Lonchura striata: one gene and its partner. The protein of the gene in region 2 interacts with the protein of the main gene of each other region in a pairwise test. Links are inferred from orthologs where the notes say so. Each region holds a gene or a part of one and is shown on either strand. Other genes may lie near its edges.

Region 1 (7,396 bases), on a different chromosome or scaffold from region 2:
AAGGCAGCCAGGGAGAGCAGCCCCAGGGCGGGGGAATGGCCTGACCCTGCAGGGACCAGCCTGACCCTGCAGGGACCAGCATCACCTCATGGGGACCAGCATCATCCCACAGGGACCAGCATCATTCCACAGGGACCTGACCCTGCAGGGACCAGCATCATCCCACAGGGACCAGCATCATCCCACAGGGACCTGACCCTGCAGGGACCAGCATCATCCCACAGGGACCAGAATCATCCCACAGGGACCTGACCCTGCAGGGACCAGCATCATCTCATAGGGACCAACCTCACCTTGTGTGAATAAACATCACCCCGTGGGTCCCACCTAGGGGAGGGGATTCTGGCTCAGTTTTTGGGGCTGAGGTGGTAAAATGGGACAGTGTTTCCTCCTTCCTCCTGACAAATCCTTATTTCTCTCTCCCTGGTGTGTTTTGCTAAGGAGGTGACACTGATGCTTCAGGAATCATGGAGTGGTTTGGAATGGAAGGGACCTTTAAAGGTCATCTCATCCATCTGGGCTCGACAGGTCTCTCTGGGGTGTGAATTGCTGGGGAAAAGCCACACAAAAGTGAAATAACTTTCACAGCTGAGCTGTGACCAGGAGGGGATGGCAGCATCCCCAAAGCCACCACTCTGCCCTGTGGCAGTTTCACAGCAAAATTCATTGCAGTGGAAGGTGTCTGTGCAGGGCTTGCACAGACCTGGGCTCACCGGGTTCTCCCGGGGCTCTGAGGGCCTCCAGCCCTGTCTTTCACAGCCTTTCCCATCTTTAATTAAAAGAATCTACAGGAGGGAGCTGCGGCTGCAGGGCCATGGTGAGCGGGTTGCTGTGACGACGTGACGCAGCTGCCCGGCACGGGAAGCCTCTGGACACTGTTAATCCCTCAGGCACACACACGGGGAACAGTTAGAAACCTCCAGTTAAAAGCACATTTATATATTCTTTTGGTTTGTTTTGTTTATGTCTGGCCCTGGCTGCTTTGGCTATCATAGAATGGAATCACAGAATCATGGAATTGTTTCGCTTGGAAAAGCCTAAGAGTGGGTCCGGTCCTGTCAGTCCCTCCACAGGGTGGATTGAACTCCACCCTCTCCCTCTCCACTGTGGGACCTGAAATTATTGTGGCTTTAAGATGAAATAATTGTTCTCTGGACACCTCTCCTGTGAAATACAGCAGTTTTCTGCTGGTGGGGCTACGTGGAACCACAAGGATGTTCCCCAAAAAGGGGTTGGCTGGGGGGGCTCAGGGCTGGGGAGGAGCGAGCAGAGATTGGGGGGTCCTGGCACAGCCCCTCCATCACCCCCTGCTCCTAAACCTGGTGTGGCTCGCCCCGGCACACAGGTGAGGGAGAGTTAATCTCCTGTGGTTTATAGGGGATTTGTTTCCCTCCTGGCACTTTCCAGAGCCGTGCATCCCAACCCTTCAGCGGGGGAGTGGAGATGAGAGCCGAGGCTGTGGGGGCTGCCAGTGGAGCTGCCCTTGTCCCGGTTTTGGGATGAAGGGGAGGAATTCCTGCTGCTTGTGGAGCGGGGTTTAACCCCTTGATCAAAGATCACCTCCAGGAGTAAATAACAGAACTGAGGCAGCTGGTGCCCCAACAACTGTGAAAAATAATAGATCATAGAGAATACAGAATAGACAGTAGAGCATAGATAACAGAGACTAGAGAACAGATAATAGAGACTAGAGAATAGGGAATAGAGAGTAGAGGATAGATAACAGAGACTAGAGAACAGATAATAGAGACTAGAGAATAAAGAACAGCTCTTTCTCTGCTGGCCCTTCTTTTCTTCAGGTGTGGGTTACGTGGGGTGGTTTGCTGGGACAAGTGGGAGACCCCTCTGTGCCCACGTCCTGCCCCTGCTCAGGAGGGCTCAGCAGATGGGCTCAGGCACGGCCAGGGGTCTCGGGGATCTGTGGGGTCTGCGGGAAGCAGGGACAGCCCCCAGCATCCCTCGAGCACTGGACAGGGACCCATTTCCCAGCGTGAAGTAGCGGCTGTTCAAACTCTAGCATCCCTTTCAAGTTGAGCTCCTTTCTCCGTTGAAGAATCTCTTGTTTCCCTCACACCGGGCTGTCAAATCACGCCCGGGGGGGCAGAGCTGGTCCTGCAGGAACATCCATGGCCGGAGCTATTCGCACAGCCCTGCCGGCCGGAGCCGTGCGGGGTTTGCAGCGCGGGGATGCTCACGCTGCTGGCTGGGAGCTCGCTGCGCTCCGGCACGGAGCGGGCACGGCGGATGCCCAGGGCTGAGCAGAGCCGTCGGTTCGGTAGCTCCATCCCGGGCAGAGCCGCCGGGCTCGCTGGGGAATGAGCCGTGAATGCTCCCGGTGCTCCCGGCAGCGGGGCAGGGCCGCGCTGTCAGATCCATCACGGCAGAGCTTTGAGATCTCCGCGTGCTTTTAGAAGCTGCAAGGTGGAAAGAGCTGCTGGAGATGGGAGGAAGGCAGGGGGAGAGGTGTCTTGGGCACATCATGGAATGGTTTGGGTTGGAAGGGTCCTGAAAGATCAGCCAGTGCCACCCCCTGCCATGGCAGGGACACCTTCCACTGTCCTGGGTTGCTCCAAGCCCCATCCAACCTGGTTTGGACATTTCCAGGGATCCAGGGGCAGCCACAGCCTCTCTGGGCACCCTCAGCACTCACAGGGAGGAATTCTTCCCAATATCCTGCTTCTGTGCACTGCCTCAGCCACTTACTTCTGCTTTTTCCCTGTTATTTTCCTTATTCAAAGCACAAATCACTTCAGACTGAAAATGCAGAGTTTCAATCCAACTCAAATCAGATTTAAATTTGAATATCCCTTGCTTTAGAAGTTGTTTCTAAACACCATGATGGCTTGATCAGCAGAATGCTTTTATCCCACCTGCTCATCCATGCAGGAAAGTGCAGGGGAGTGAATTGTGGTCTTAAAACAACTATCCTGTTTAAGCCTCAGAGGCAGCAGTGGGAAGTTTAATTTAATTAGCATGATACTCAGAGATGTAACTTAATCACATTAAGTATAGATCAACGTGCTCTCATTTAAGCTCTCCAAGCTCCAGAAAATAGGGGCCAGTCGTCTCCCACCTGGCTTTTCCAAGGAAAAGGAACAAGCAAGGCTTGGGGGGAGCTTGTCCCTGTGCTTCTTTCGGACGATTTTCTCCCAGAGATTCTGGACCCATCTGGTCCAGAACTCTCATTCCCTTGAGTTACATTTGTGCTAAACGGGTATTTAAAAAGCAAACAAACAGCGAAAAACAAACAGAGTACATGGAAATATGGGTATGGGCCAGACTTCCTCCTGGCCCTGGAAGGTACAGAAGGGACCAGATTGGGGTCAGCCCCGAGGCCGGAGCTCCCTCCTGCTCTCCTGCCAGCCTGGGCAGTGGAGGGACCCATCCATTGGGATGCTGGTCCCTGCTGTCACTGGGGACACTGAGGCACGGCAGGAAAAGCTCCGAGGCAGAGGATGCAGCCCAGCTCCGGGGGCAGGCCGGGGGGCTGCGGGGGTGTCCCAGCCGTCCGGACCGGGACCGAGCCCGGTGGCAGCGGGGCCGTGGCGGCGGCCGCTGCCCCGGCGCTGCCGCGGTTCGTAGTTATTGGAAACTGGACTGCGGAGGAGGCAGGATGCTGTTTCTATGGAAATGTCCTGGAACAGTAAACCAGGGAAGAGGAAAACAGAAGAGATGGCAACGGAGCTGCAGGCAGGGCGCCCTCCGAGGGGCTGTGCCGGTGTGATTTGGGGAGGAGGCGTTGGGGGTCTCTGGTCGTTGTCACCTTCCCGCTGTGCCGGAGCTCACCGGAGCGGGCCCGCATGGCTCACGCCTGAAAGGACGCGGTTGTTTCACCCCTGCGAGGAACCCGCCGAGCTCCGAACCTCTGTCCACTGCCCCAGCCGTCCCCAGGTGCGGGGACACCCCCAGGGCTCTCCCCGCCCCGTGTCACCCAGCCCCGCCGCCGCCGTCCCGGGCACCTCGGGGCCGGGCCGGGGGTGCGGGAGCCTGGCCGGGATAACGGGACTCAGCTCCTGGCGGGGGGGGGGGGTGATGGCGACACCGGGAGCTGCGAGCCGGGTGTGACCGCACCATGGCACCGGTCCCGGCTGACACCCGGGCGAGAGCACCGGCACGGAGCCGTTCGCCCCTCGGGGCGCTGCCGGGGCCACCGTCGGTGCCGGGGGTACGGGGCGAGCCGGCGGTGCCGGTGACTGCGGATGCCGGGAGTGGCGCGGATGCCGGTACCGGGGGTGCCGGAGCGGCGAGTACCGGGGAGCCGGTGCCGGTCGCGGATTGGCGGCGGCGGCGGCCCCTCCCCGGCGGGGCGGGGGCGGCGCGGCCCGGCGGGCCCGGCCCGGTGCCCGGCAGTCTGCGGGCGCTGCGGAGCGAGCGCGGCCATGGCGGCGGCCCCGGCGGGTACGGCGGGCGGGGAGCGCGACCGGGGCACCGGCAGCGGGGGTGGCGGGGCAGGGCCGCACTAACGCGTCTCTTCTGCTCGTTTCTCCCCGCAGAGGCGGAGACCCGGCAGCGGCTGCTGCGCACCGTCAAGAAGGAGGTGGGTGCGGGACCCCCGGGAGCAGCCCCGGCCCGGTGCCCGCGGGGAGCTCCGGGCCCGCCCGCGGCATCCGCTGGCTCTGCTGCTGCTTTTGGGGTTCAGAGCCCCCCAACAACCAGCCCGGAGTGCGGCCGAGAGCCCACCCACCCTGGCGCGGTTGCGGGTCCCGGGGGGCGGAGAAGCATCCCTGCAGCGCCAGTGCCCGGCATCCTCGGAAAATCGCCTTTGGCTGGGGGCAGAGCACGCCGCGACTTGGGATTTTCCGCAGGAAAAAGGGGCGACTCCCGGTGCTGCATCCCTCCCTCGGGAGCGGGGATGGGACGAGCCCTCCCGCAGCACGGCGCTCCTTGGCAGGGCGGGGGGGCGGCGGATGCTGCGGACGGGGAGCCCCAAATGTGTGTGCCCGGTGCAGGGTGATGGCGTTCCGCATCTCGCCGTGCTCCCCCTTCTCAGGCATCTTTAACTCTGTTAGTTTGTGCGTTGTTTCATGCTGAGCTGCCTGGAGCTCCGTGTTTATCCCGTGTGTCCCGCCCGGTGCCGGAGCGCTGGGTCAGCGGCAGATGTTGTCGTGTCCTGCCCACGCTCTGTCCCCGCAGGTCACCTCCCGGAATGCCGGAGGGACGTGGGGGGAGAGGTGTGTGGTGTTTTGTTTCTGGTGTTACGAGCATCTCGCTCTCCGGTTTGCAGGCTCCCGGGGAGTGGAAGACGCTGCTTGGAGCCGGGAGAAGCAGACCCGTGGGTGGTGGGTCTGGGGAGGGTGACAGCGCTGCCCACCCAGACCACTTCCCACCTTTAATCCTGTGCCGGGTGTGGTGCTAAGGGATACTCCCGGTTGCCTCAGCAACGGCTATTAAACCAGGAAAAGGGCATGACATTTATTTAGCGTTGTGGATAGAGCTGCCATCTCATTATTGCTGTCTGTGGCAGCTCCTGAGTGCAGACACAGCTGCTGCAGGGTGGGAGCCAGGGCTGCTCCTGGCATCCCCCAGAGCCTCTCCTGTGCTGCCCTTCAGTGCCTGGCTTTGCTGGCTCCTAGGGGCTGGGGGAAAGTGGAGCTGGTACCTCCAGGAGCAGAGCTGGGGCTGGTTCCTGCCCTTCTGCTGGCTTTGGGGGAGATAATGTGGGTTTGGGGCAGATAATGTGGGTTTGGTGAATGTGGGTAAAGCCTGAGGGAGGGAGGACTGTGTGGGGAAAGCTCTCCTGCCCTGTGAAGTGCCACCACGGTGCTGTGAGTGTGAGTTTGACACACTCCTGGCTCTCTCTCAGCAGCCCCTTGGTGCTGACACAGAGCAGAGGCTTTTTCCTGGTGATCCCATTGCTCGGGGTGTTGGTGTGGATGTGGGCTCCCTGCAGGTACCAGGTGGTTGCCATTCCATTGGGATTTGCCTTCCACTTGCCCTTCCACTCCTGCTGGAAGTGCTGAGCTTGGACAGGGGCTGGGTCCAGCGATGGGGGCTGTGGGTGGGGGAGTTCCATGCAGGATTTGTGCTCTCCACCTGGGCTTTGCTCTGGTAGGAGTGAAAAACCTGGGGAAACATCATCCTGTAGGTTATGGAGTCAATTATTCAGCACCATCCCTGAAACCAGGAGCAGGTGGGGCATTCTTGTGCCTGTTGCTCTCTGCTCATGCTTTTGGTTTTTATTCCTCTTCTAGGCCAACCTCAGGTTAAGTCAGGAGCTTGTGCAGACTCCAAGGAGCAGTAGAAAGGGCCAGTTGCAGAAATTCGGTGTGTTTTTTTCCCCCACTCCCAGAATTTTAACCTTTCCCAAAGCTGTATTATTCTCACTTCACGAGGCCACGCCTGGTTTTGCTCCAGCCCTCAGTGCAGGTGAGCCCAGCTGAGGACAGGGACAGGCAGGGCTGTCCTTGGGGAGCTGTGCCACGTCTGTCACCCCAGGGCCATAACTGAGAAGACAAACACTGGGAAGAAGGGCTGATCTGAGCAGGGACAGAAACAATAAACTGGAATTAGCCAGGGCACGGAGCAGCCCTCAGTATTTGGCTGTTGCCATGGTTAAGGCGTTGGGTTCTGGAGAAGTCCTGTGCTGCAGTGGATGTGCAGGTTGAGATGAGCTGTGTTGTCTGTCACCATCTTCTTCCTCCCCCCCACCCCCATATGGCCACAATAAATCAAACCAACCCTGGAAGCTGCAAAACTGACTGTTTGTCAGCAGGCTGCAAGGGAAGGGGTGAAGTCTGACTTTGTCAGGCACCCTGTGTCCTGTTATGCAGGATAAGCAGCATGACCAACATTCTCTGATTTTTTAGAGCTTTTATCAGATGAAACGAGGCTTTTTTTACTAACCCAGCAATACTCAAGTTTGGAGGGATGTGAGTTTTCAACTAGAAATATTCCTCTTGTAATTAGAAATTTTCTCCTTCTTTTACAAGTTTTGTTTTGCACGGAGGAAAGTGCTGAGGTCTGTTTTCAGCTCCCTCCAGGCAGCTGCATGGCACAGAGGAAGGGAAGCAGGTGTTACCTGTGCAATCCCACCTGCACACGTGTCCCTGGAATGTCAGCTGAGTGCTGTGTGAGAGCAAACACTCATCTTGGTCTTTCTTCTGCAAAAACTTAGTTTATGTTTAACTCACCACTCAGGAAGCAGCTCTGAGTCTTTACTCATCAGTAACTGTTGAACCTGGATTGAACATTTTGCTGCTTGTTCTTCGAATTCTTTCAAATATTGGGGTTGACCACAGCCTGCTTGTCTTCTGCCAGATATATTGTTTATTTTTCAGTAGCTGGAACGGTTGTCACTGTGTAGCTGTTGACTAATTCCTCCATCATGTGTCATGGGAACAGCAGTCAGTCTCTTCCTCCCACCCTTTCAGAGAAGCCCCTGCTTTGCAGCCATGTT
Region 2 (7,168 bases):
AAAAAAACCTCATCCTATATGTGACTGAAACACTGGCCTCTCCAAAGCTACCTTTTGTTCTTGATGTCTTAATTAGAATAAAAATGCATAGATGATTTAAGGGAAGTTTAGTGAACTCCATCTACTACTCTGCAGACTTTCAGGTGGGAGACCTTACTTACATAGAAAGCTATTAGCAGATGGAGTTTAGGCTATCATTAGGAGCATCCTTATTTGAGAAGGGCAACAACTGAGCCTCCCTCAAAAAGCACACCTTATTCCTACAAATCATAGGCTTTCTTTTGAAAAATACAGGTAAGCTCTGGCTTGTAGTCAACAGTTTTACAAATTTGATTTACATATTTTACCTACACATCTGAAACCAACAGAAGGCTTTAAGTCATAAATCTTTAAAACTAATCAAACACAAGAGTTTTTTCCCTCTGTCCAAGCTTATCCCTGGACAGTTTTTCCATCTGTCCAAGCTTATCCCTGGTCAGCAATTATACCAGGGTTATTTACAATGCTATAGCAATTCTGTTACACATGAAGTAAATAATAAAGTGGGAAGAAAAGCTTATTCCTATACCAATAGAAATTTCCCATTCTTTCTTGTTTTTTCCTTCACTCCTTTAACCAAGCAAGACATCTTGAAGGAAGTTTTTAAAGATATAGCCAGCATCTTAAGTATTCACTATGGAACAGATATATTATCTGCTATAAAATTGCTTAAATGAAAGGAAACTTCTACCTTTAATTGATGGTAATTTATTGCTCTATCCTTGTCCGTATCAAACAATTCAAAGGTATCTTTAATTTCTTGCTTCTGTTCCTCAGTCAGTTCTCTTCTTTTCTTCTTTTTAGTTTTATCTACTGAGAGCTCATTCCTACATAAAGAAAATTAAATGTAGTGTAACAGATTTCTACTGGGAAGATGTCATTGTAAATAACCATTTCCACCAATAATAAACTCACCATAATTTTAGAAATCACTACCTTACCTAGTCAGTATTTTCCCAGCTTGTATTCCCAGTTTAAAATAACATTTGAAATAGACAATTATGTTGTGAAATCTGAATGATACCTCCAGTCTCCCACCCAAAATAAACCAGCACAGGCATTTTTGTTAATAAGCATCAACAACAACAAAAAACAGAGGATAGAAAAATTACCAGATAAAAAGGCTTTTTGAGGTTTCAAACTACATTAGCAGTTGAAATTATACAACTTTTGAAAACAGTTAATTTCTACACTGTAGCTTAAAAAATAAAATTAATTTAGGGACTGATATGCCAGTGGAAGCCAAACTAGGCCAAACAGTCTGGCTACTAAAAGCTAGCATTAGGTGCTACAAATCAACTTTGGCACCTGTAACAATTCTTAGATAAATAGTACTTGTAGGAATTTTTTTTTAATTCTTTAGACCACACACATACACACTGTTTTGAAGATTTTTTTTTGCTCTGTTTTGGTATATATGAAAGAGACAAGCCCTCCAAATCAGCAAATCTTGCTCAAAGACTGCCCCCTTTTCTTTGGCTAGTAGAAATAAGCTTATATTTTCAGAGGAGCATAGTAAAAGGAGGAGAGACAATAACTACAAAATTTAAGGGAAAGAACTGCAGCTGGTATAGAAACTACAGCTGGATCTAAGGGATAATATTTTCCCAGTGCATGTGGTGACATGCTAGAATAGTTCCACTGGGAATGAGTCTCCATCATCAAACATTTTTTTAACCTAATTATAAAATGTGCTTAGCATCCTCAGCCAGCTTTATGTAGAAGCTGCTGTGATCAGGAAGCTGGACTAGATGACTTCCATAAGTCTTTCCTAAATTATTGCATAGTTTATGTTATACTATCAGGAATAGGCTTTTTATGCTCATTTGTCCTTTTGCACCAGAGGCAGAATGAGTGCTGCTGCGTCACCTAGGGTAGACTGCATAAAGATTACTGTTCAATGAACAGAAAACTGCAAGATTAACTTTCCAAGTCTCCTCTAACAAGCTGTTTTATGCTCTTCTTTGTTAACAATTTGCTAATTTTAATCAAAACCTAAGACTAAACACTTATCTATACTTAGTTTTCAACAACCACTGAAGCAAAAACCCCAAATACACACAATAAAAGTGCAAGCTGCAGAAGCTGAGCTTCAAACCACAATACCCTCAACGAGTAAGATGTTCTTAACAGACCACTTGAGACAGTGTGATTTCACACAGGCTTTGGATTACTACAACTCTTGGAAGGCCTAAAATAACTCTGAGCTGGCTAGGTAATTAGGACCAAGAGAGTAAGTAGATCAGATCTAGGGAGCCCACATTTTGTGAGCTACAATGAAGAAATACATTTATAAATCTGAAAGCAGATTAACACCAAACTCTTCTGAAGGAGCAATCCAGGTACCTAAGTGTTCATTTAATGCTTAGCATAAAATAATTTATCAAAAGACAAAGCAGTACTCAAATACAAGTAGTTCAGTACCACTTCTGCAACTACTTTAACCATAGCAAGCATCAAGTTCTTAGATTTGAAAATTAATCGTAGCAGGTGCCATGTAAGCATATTAATTACACTTGAAGATAAAAATTTGCCAGGCACTGGGATTCATAAGCCAGGCTCCTTTACGCAATAGCTACTAAATCAGAATGCAGAAACAAAACAAAGCCAAGCAGTTTAACTTTATGCCTATTCACAGGCCTTTTGAAAGCACATCAGACAACCCAGAAGCGAACTTCCCAAGGCCAGACGCGCCGGACCCTTCTTTCTCCGGCCAGAAAGACGGGCCTGGTCCGGCCCGGCCCGCCGAAGGGATCAGATGGGACCGGCTGAAGGCCGGCGATGACCCAGGCCCCGCCACGGCCTCCCAAAGGGGGCAGCGTGGCCCTGAGGGACCCACACCGCGCTGCGGGCCCCGAGCGGGCAAGCAAGGGAAGCGCCGTGCTCGTACCGACCTGAGGGCCAGGCTCATGGTGCCGCTGCCGCAGCCGGGTCCGGCAAACGCGCCGGGTCCGGCAAACGCGCCCTGCCCTGCCCTGCCCTGCCCCGCCCCGCACTGCCCCGCACGGCCCCGCACGGCCCGGCCGCGTCCCAGCCCGGCCGCGCCGCTCTCCGGCCCTTAGCGACGCCGCTAGGCCACGCCCCTACCGAGTCCCCAACCTGATTGGCCGAGGGGCGATAAAGTCCCGCCTGCGAGCCCTGAGCGCGCTGCCATTGGCTGAGCTCCTGCCACTCAGCGCGGAGAGGGCGGGCCCCGCCGAGAGCGGGCGGTGGCTCCCGGCCGCGCCTCCGGCCGCCGCGCCGCGTCTGCCGCCGAGCGGGCGCCGCGGGAAAGTTTCCCTAAGGAAGGATTTCTCGATGTTTGATCTTGATTTTCAAGCCTAATCAACAAGGAAGGAGATTCAATCCTTGAAACAGATAGACGCTACTAAGCAAGGTTAAAATAATGTCCAGGGGTTAGAAAGACAAATCTTTAGTCCTAATTTCCTTGTTAAGGTCTAGGGCACGACGTGTTTCAATATCAAACAAACAATTCGGAATTTATAGACTCCAAGGACATTTGGCAGAACTCCCAAGATACGGAAGAAATTAATAAAGGCAACTCAGCAACTGTGTTGAATGAGCTCCAGTTCCAGCAGATCACTTACCAAGCTGCCCACCGACTCAAGAGAAGGACTGGGCATGTGACTAATTAGCATGAGAAATAAGAGAATTATTAACAACAGAATATAGAATAATAATTAATAAGAGAACGATGTAACCTGAAGCCAGTGAACATTAATGCATTTGTTTGCTAAAATGTGTATAAATACACAAAATACTAAAGAGTTTTGATAGTTGGTGTGCTTGACTCATGGAATACAATGCAGCACCCAGGCTTCTGCGACTCTAAAACAAATAATCCATGTCTCCCTCAAGTGTGTAATTACTGGCTTATTGCACACTGGGTTATAAATCTGATTTTTGTGGTCAGCACGTCTACTAGTCTTGCTGTAGAACGTCTGGTGTCTGTGTCAGAAGAACTCCCCATGCCCCCAGAGCCTGCTCGCTACTCTTCAGTCCAACTGTTGGAGGTGCAGTGGGCTGTGGAGATGGACACAAAAGTGGCATTTACAGAAGCATTTCTGGCACTTGTACAGATTTTGCCTTGCTAAAAATTTGATTGAAAGTGTGATAAATAGATGTGATTCGTGCTGAATAAGTTGTACTTAAACCAATAATTTGGAAAAATAATTGGAAAAGTGCATGTGATTAGTGTTATGAAGCGGACGGGTTTCTTCAAGAATACAAGTGGAAAGCAGGATGTAGGAGTTGGATTCGGCCTTGGGAATGGACAAAGTCAGGAAGACTCCCAAACCAAAACTGGCATCAAGATGGAATGAGACAACTCCCAGAGCAGGACCAACCTTGGAGATGAATAAAGTTGGGACAATTCCAGACAGGGAGTCTAAAATAGTGGTCTTATCTATGAGATAAATAAGGTTTAATTGGAAAATAGTGCTTACTTACATAACACCAAACTTAATGTGCATGTGCCACCTGCCAGGTTATCCAGAGGACAAGTAAGGAAGACCTTTGGCCTTCCTCCAAGACCACCAAAAAGCCCAGGAGATCCCATAGCAACAACAGGAGGATGCGCTGTGTAGTATTAGTGATGTAGATTTCAAGAATCAAAAATGGGAGGAGATTTACAGGAAATATTGATGAATATGTATTAGCATACAGTATAAAATTTCTGTTTGGATCATTTTGCCCTTTTTATGGATAGCAGGACAAGAAGCCTTCTCCATACCCTGATTGGTTTCACTTATGCTTTATCTGAACCATTGTCAAATTACTCTTTGTAAGCACTTCATTACATTTGATTGTAGTATTATTATTATTTTATACCCCAATTAAAAATTGCTGCTAAATTGCAATCTTGTGATTTATCAAATTGGACATATGAGACCCCATTCATAACAAAAGCAATATGTACTGTGTGGAGATTGGAAGACCTTATGTATAGTTCCAGTTATCATTGACACTAATATTACTGTGTCTTGCAAAACAGTCAGTGAATCACCATTACATATCTGTGTAGAGAAAATGCTCATATCACTGGTGAGAAAACTCAGATTTCTGCAAAGCGCTGCCTCAGTGCTCTGGTGTGTGACAAAGTAATTGTCACTGTGTCTTTCTTCATAAAAAAGGGCTGTTTCATAACTAGCTTTGACAACATAGTACAGTGTTACTAACTGGACCATTATGTTATTCAGATCCTATGTTATGCAGTCTGGCTAGACAGACTGAAAATTCTCAGGCAATGAAAAATTCCTTCAGGCGTTTCAGTCCTGACAGCTTGTCTTGGAGATGTTTTGCACCCGTGTTTCCGGTAATAAACTATTATGTACATGGAGTACACAGTGTTCAATATGTAGAGTTTGGCTTGCTCAATACACATTTTTCCTGAGCAAAGTCAAGAAGAGATGAAACCTATTTTGCTGTCTGTTCATATTATGCCTGGTCCACAGATCAAATAGGCAGAGGCAAGCGGTTTGTAATTGACCTCTGTTTACAGACAGTAGCTTTGCAACTAAAAGCATAAATTACTGGCAGGTTTGACCCTCAGCCTGTACTGTGGTGCAAATATAACCACAGATTAATTTTTTTTTTTTTTATGTTTCATAGAACACATTTACTTGTCCAGAGAGAAAAGGAAGCATTAACCAAATGGTGATTTAAGTGTGGGAAAGTAGCACAAGTAGCCCCCAGCTGCACCAAGAGCCCCAAATTGTTTCACCCCCATTCTCACCTCCTCTGCGTGTTGATCCTGGGTCTCAGCATAGGGTCTTGGATCTTGCCTGAGCTGCGCTGGGGTTATTCCCGTCTTGTACTGTGTGCTGCTCTTGCTGACATATTTACAGACTTTGTGGCCTGGCCATGACCTTGAGTCATGACCTTGCCATTGTCTGCAGTCGCTGGGCTGCTGACAGGTCAAGTTACTCTGCAGGGAGTTCATAATCCCTGCCAGTGTTGTGACTGTGCTTTGCTTCCAGGTTGTCCTCTCTCATGGTGCACCCGTGCCCTGGCTGCTCTTTGTCAAGCAGAGTGAGATACCTGATACTGATAGTCTGGGTGTGCTTCTGGGAACTGAAGATCCACATTCATGTCCCTACTTCTAAATTTATAAGCTAAAAAGTGGCTCCAGAAACCAAAGTGCCACTCTTCATTAAGTTAGCAGCAGTGCTCATACTGCATGTGAAATGGAGATGCACAGAATTCCAAAGAGAAAAGACAGGCTCAAGTAATAATAGGCTCAAGTAATAATAGGCTCAAGTAATAATAGCTAAAAATAAGTACATGGTTGTGGTAGTAGTGACTTGTAAATCCTTGCATTTTCAAAGTTGATTAAACCCGTCCTAAAATGACCACTTATGAATGCACTAGCATGTTTCTCACACAAACATATTCTCAGCTTAATAAGGAAAATAATTAATAATGAAATATACTTAAAGCATAGCATAACCAGAAAAAACATTACTAGCTTTTACTTAATTTTCAAACTCATTTATTGCTTTTTAAAAGTAATTTGTGGGGCTGTCTGCCAGGTCTGTCTTCCCTTTGAGTGAAGCTATATTCTTCTCTAATCCTAATTTTATTAGTATTAGGAAACTATCCTACCACTCTGTTGTCCTAAATTGAATCTGAGTATGCAAAGACTATAAACCTCATCCCAGCTGCTCAAAATCAGATCACATATCAGAATTGTAATTAAATTAATCCTGAATTTTTTAAAGGAGAAGATGGGTAAGATTTCATGCAAGTCAAAACAGTTCTGTTCATGTCACTCTTAGAACAAATAATATGTACAAATATAAAGTCAAATTAAAAACATACCAAGTATCATTGGCAGTTTGATGATTGTGAATGAACTTCTTTGTGCATCAGGGTCAAACTGCTGGGAAATACCTGGCACAATCACAGCAATGTTGACTAAGTTTCTGTGCCTTTTTCCATGTCAGGCCTCTTTTTGCTGCTTGTTTGCTTACTTTCCCAATTTTATTTTCTGTTGAATGCCTCATTGCCTCCCCAGGACCCTGTTGGGCATGTGTGGGAATACTCACAGTTAGCTCTAAAATAATTTTTTAATCAATAAGTTTTAAATTATTGTAAGACAGCTTGTCCAATAAAGTCTGAGTAGTTAGGA

What was found.
Region 1: the proteins of CETN3 (region 2) and SGSM1 interact in binary tests that used the Homo sapiens proteins (3 or more experiments, as listed by UniProt). The two-hybrid records come from large-scale screens. The link is inferred for Lonchura striata from reciprocal best matches to the Homo sapiens genes CETN3 and SGSM1.

What each region holds. Positions count from the first base shown.
Region 1 is NC_134620.1:10,992,532-10,999,927, reverse strand, and holds the start of SGSM1 (small G protein signaling modulator 1), read left to right. Parts: upstream 1-4,328; 5' UTR 4,329-4,379; coding exon 4,380-4,398; intron 4,399-4,493; coding exon 4,494-4,537; intron 4,538-7,396. UniProt on the Homo sapiens protein: Interacts with numerous Rab family members, functioning as Rab effector for some, and as GTPase activator for others. Promotes GTP hydrolysis by RAB34 and RAB36.
Region 2 is NC_134642.1:67,035,849-67,043,016, forward strand, and holds the start of CETN3 (centrin-3), read right to left. Parts: upstream 3,063-7,168; 5' UTR 2,951-3,062; coding exon 2,934-2,950; intron 867-2,933; coding exon 731-866; intron 1-730. UniProt on the Homo sapiens protein: Plays a fundamental role in microtubule-organizing center structure and function. As a component of the TREX-2 complex, involved in the export of mRNAs to the cytoplasm through the nuclear pores.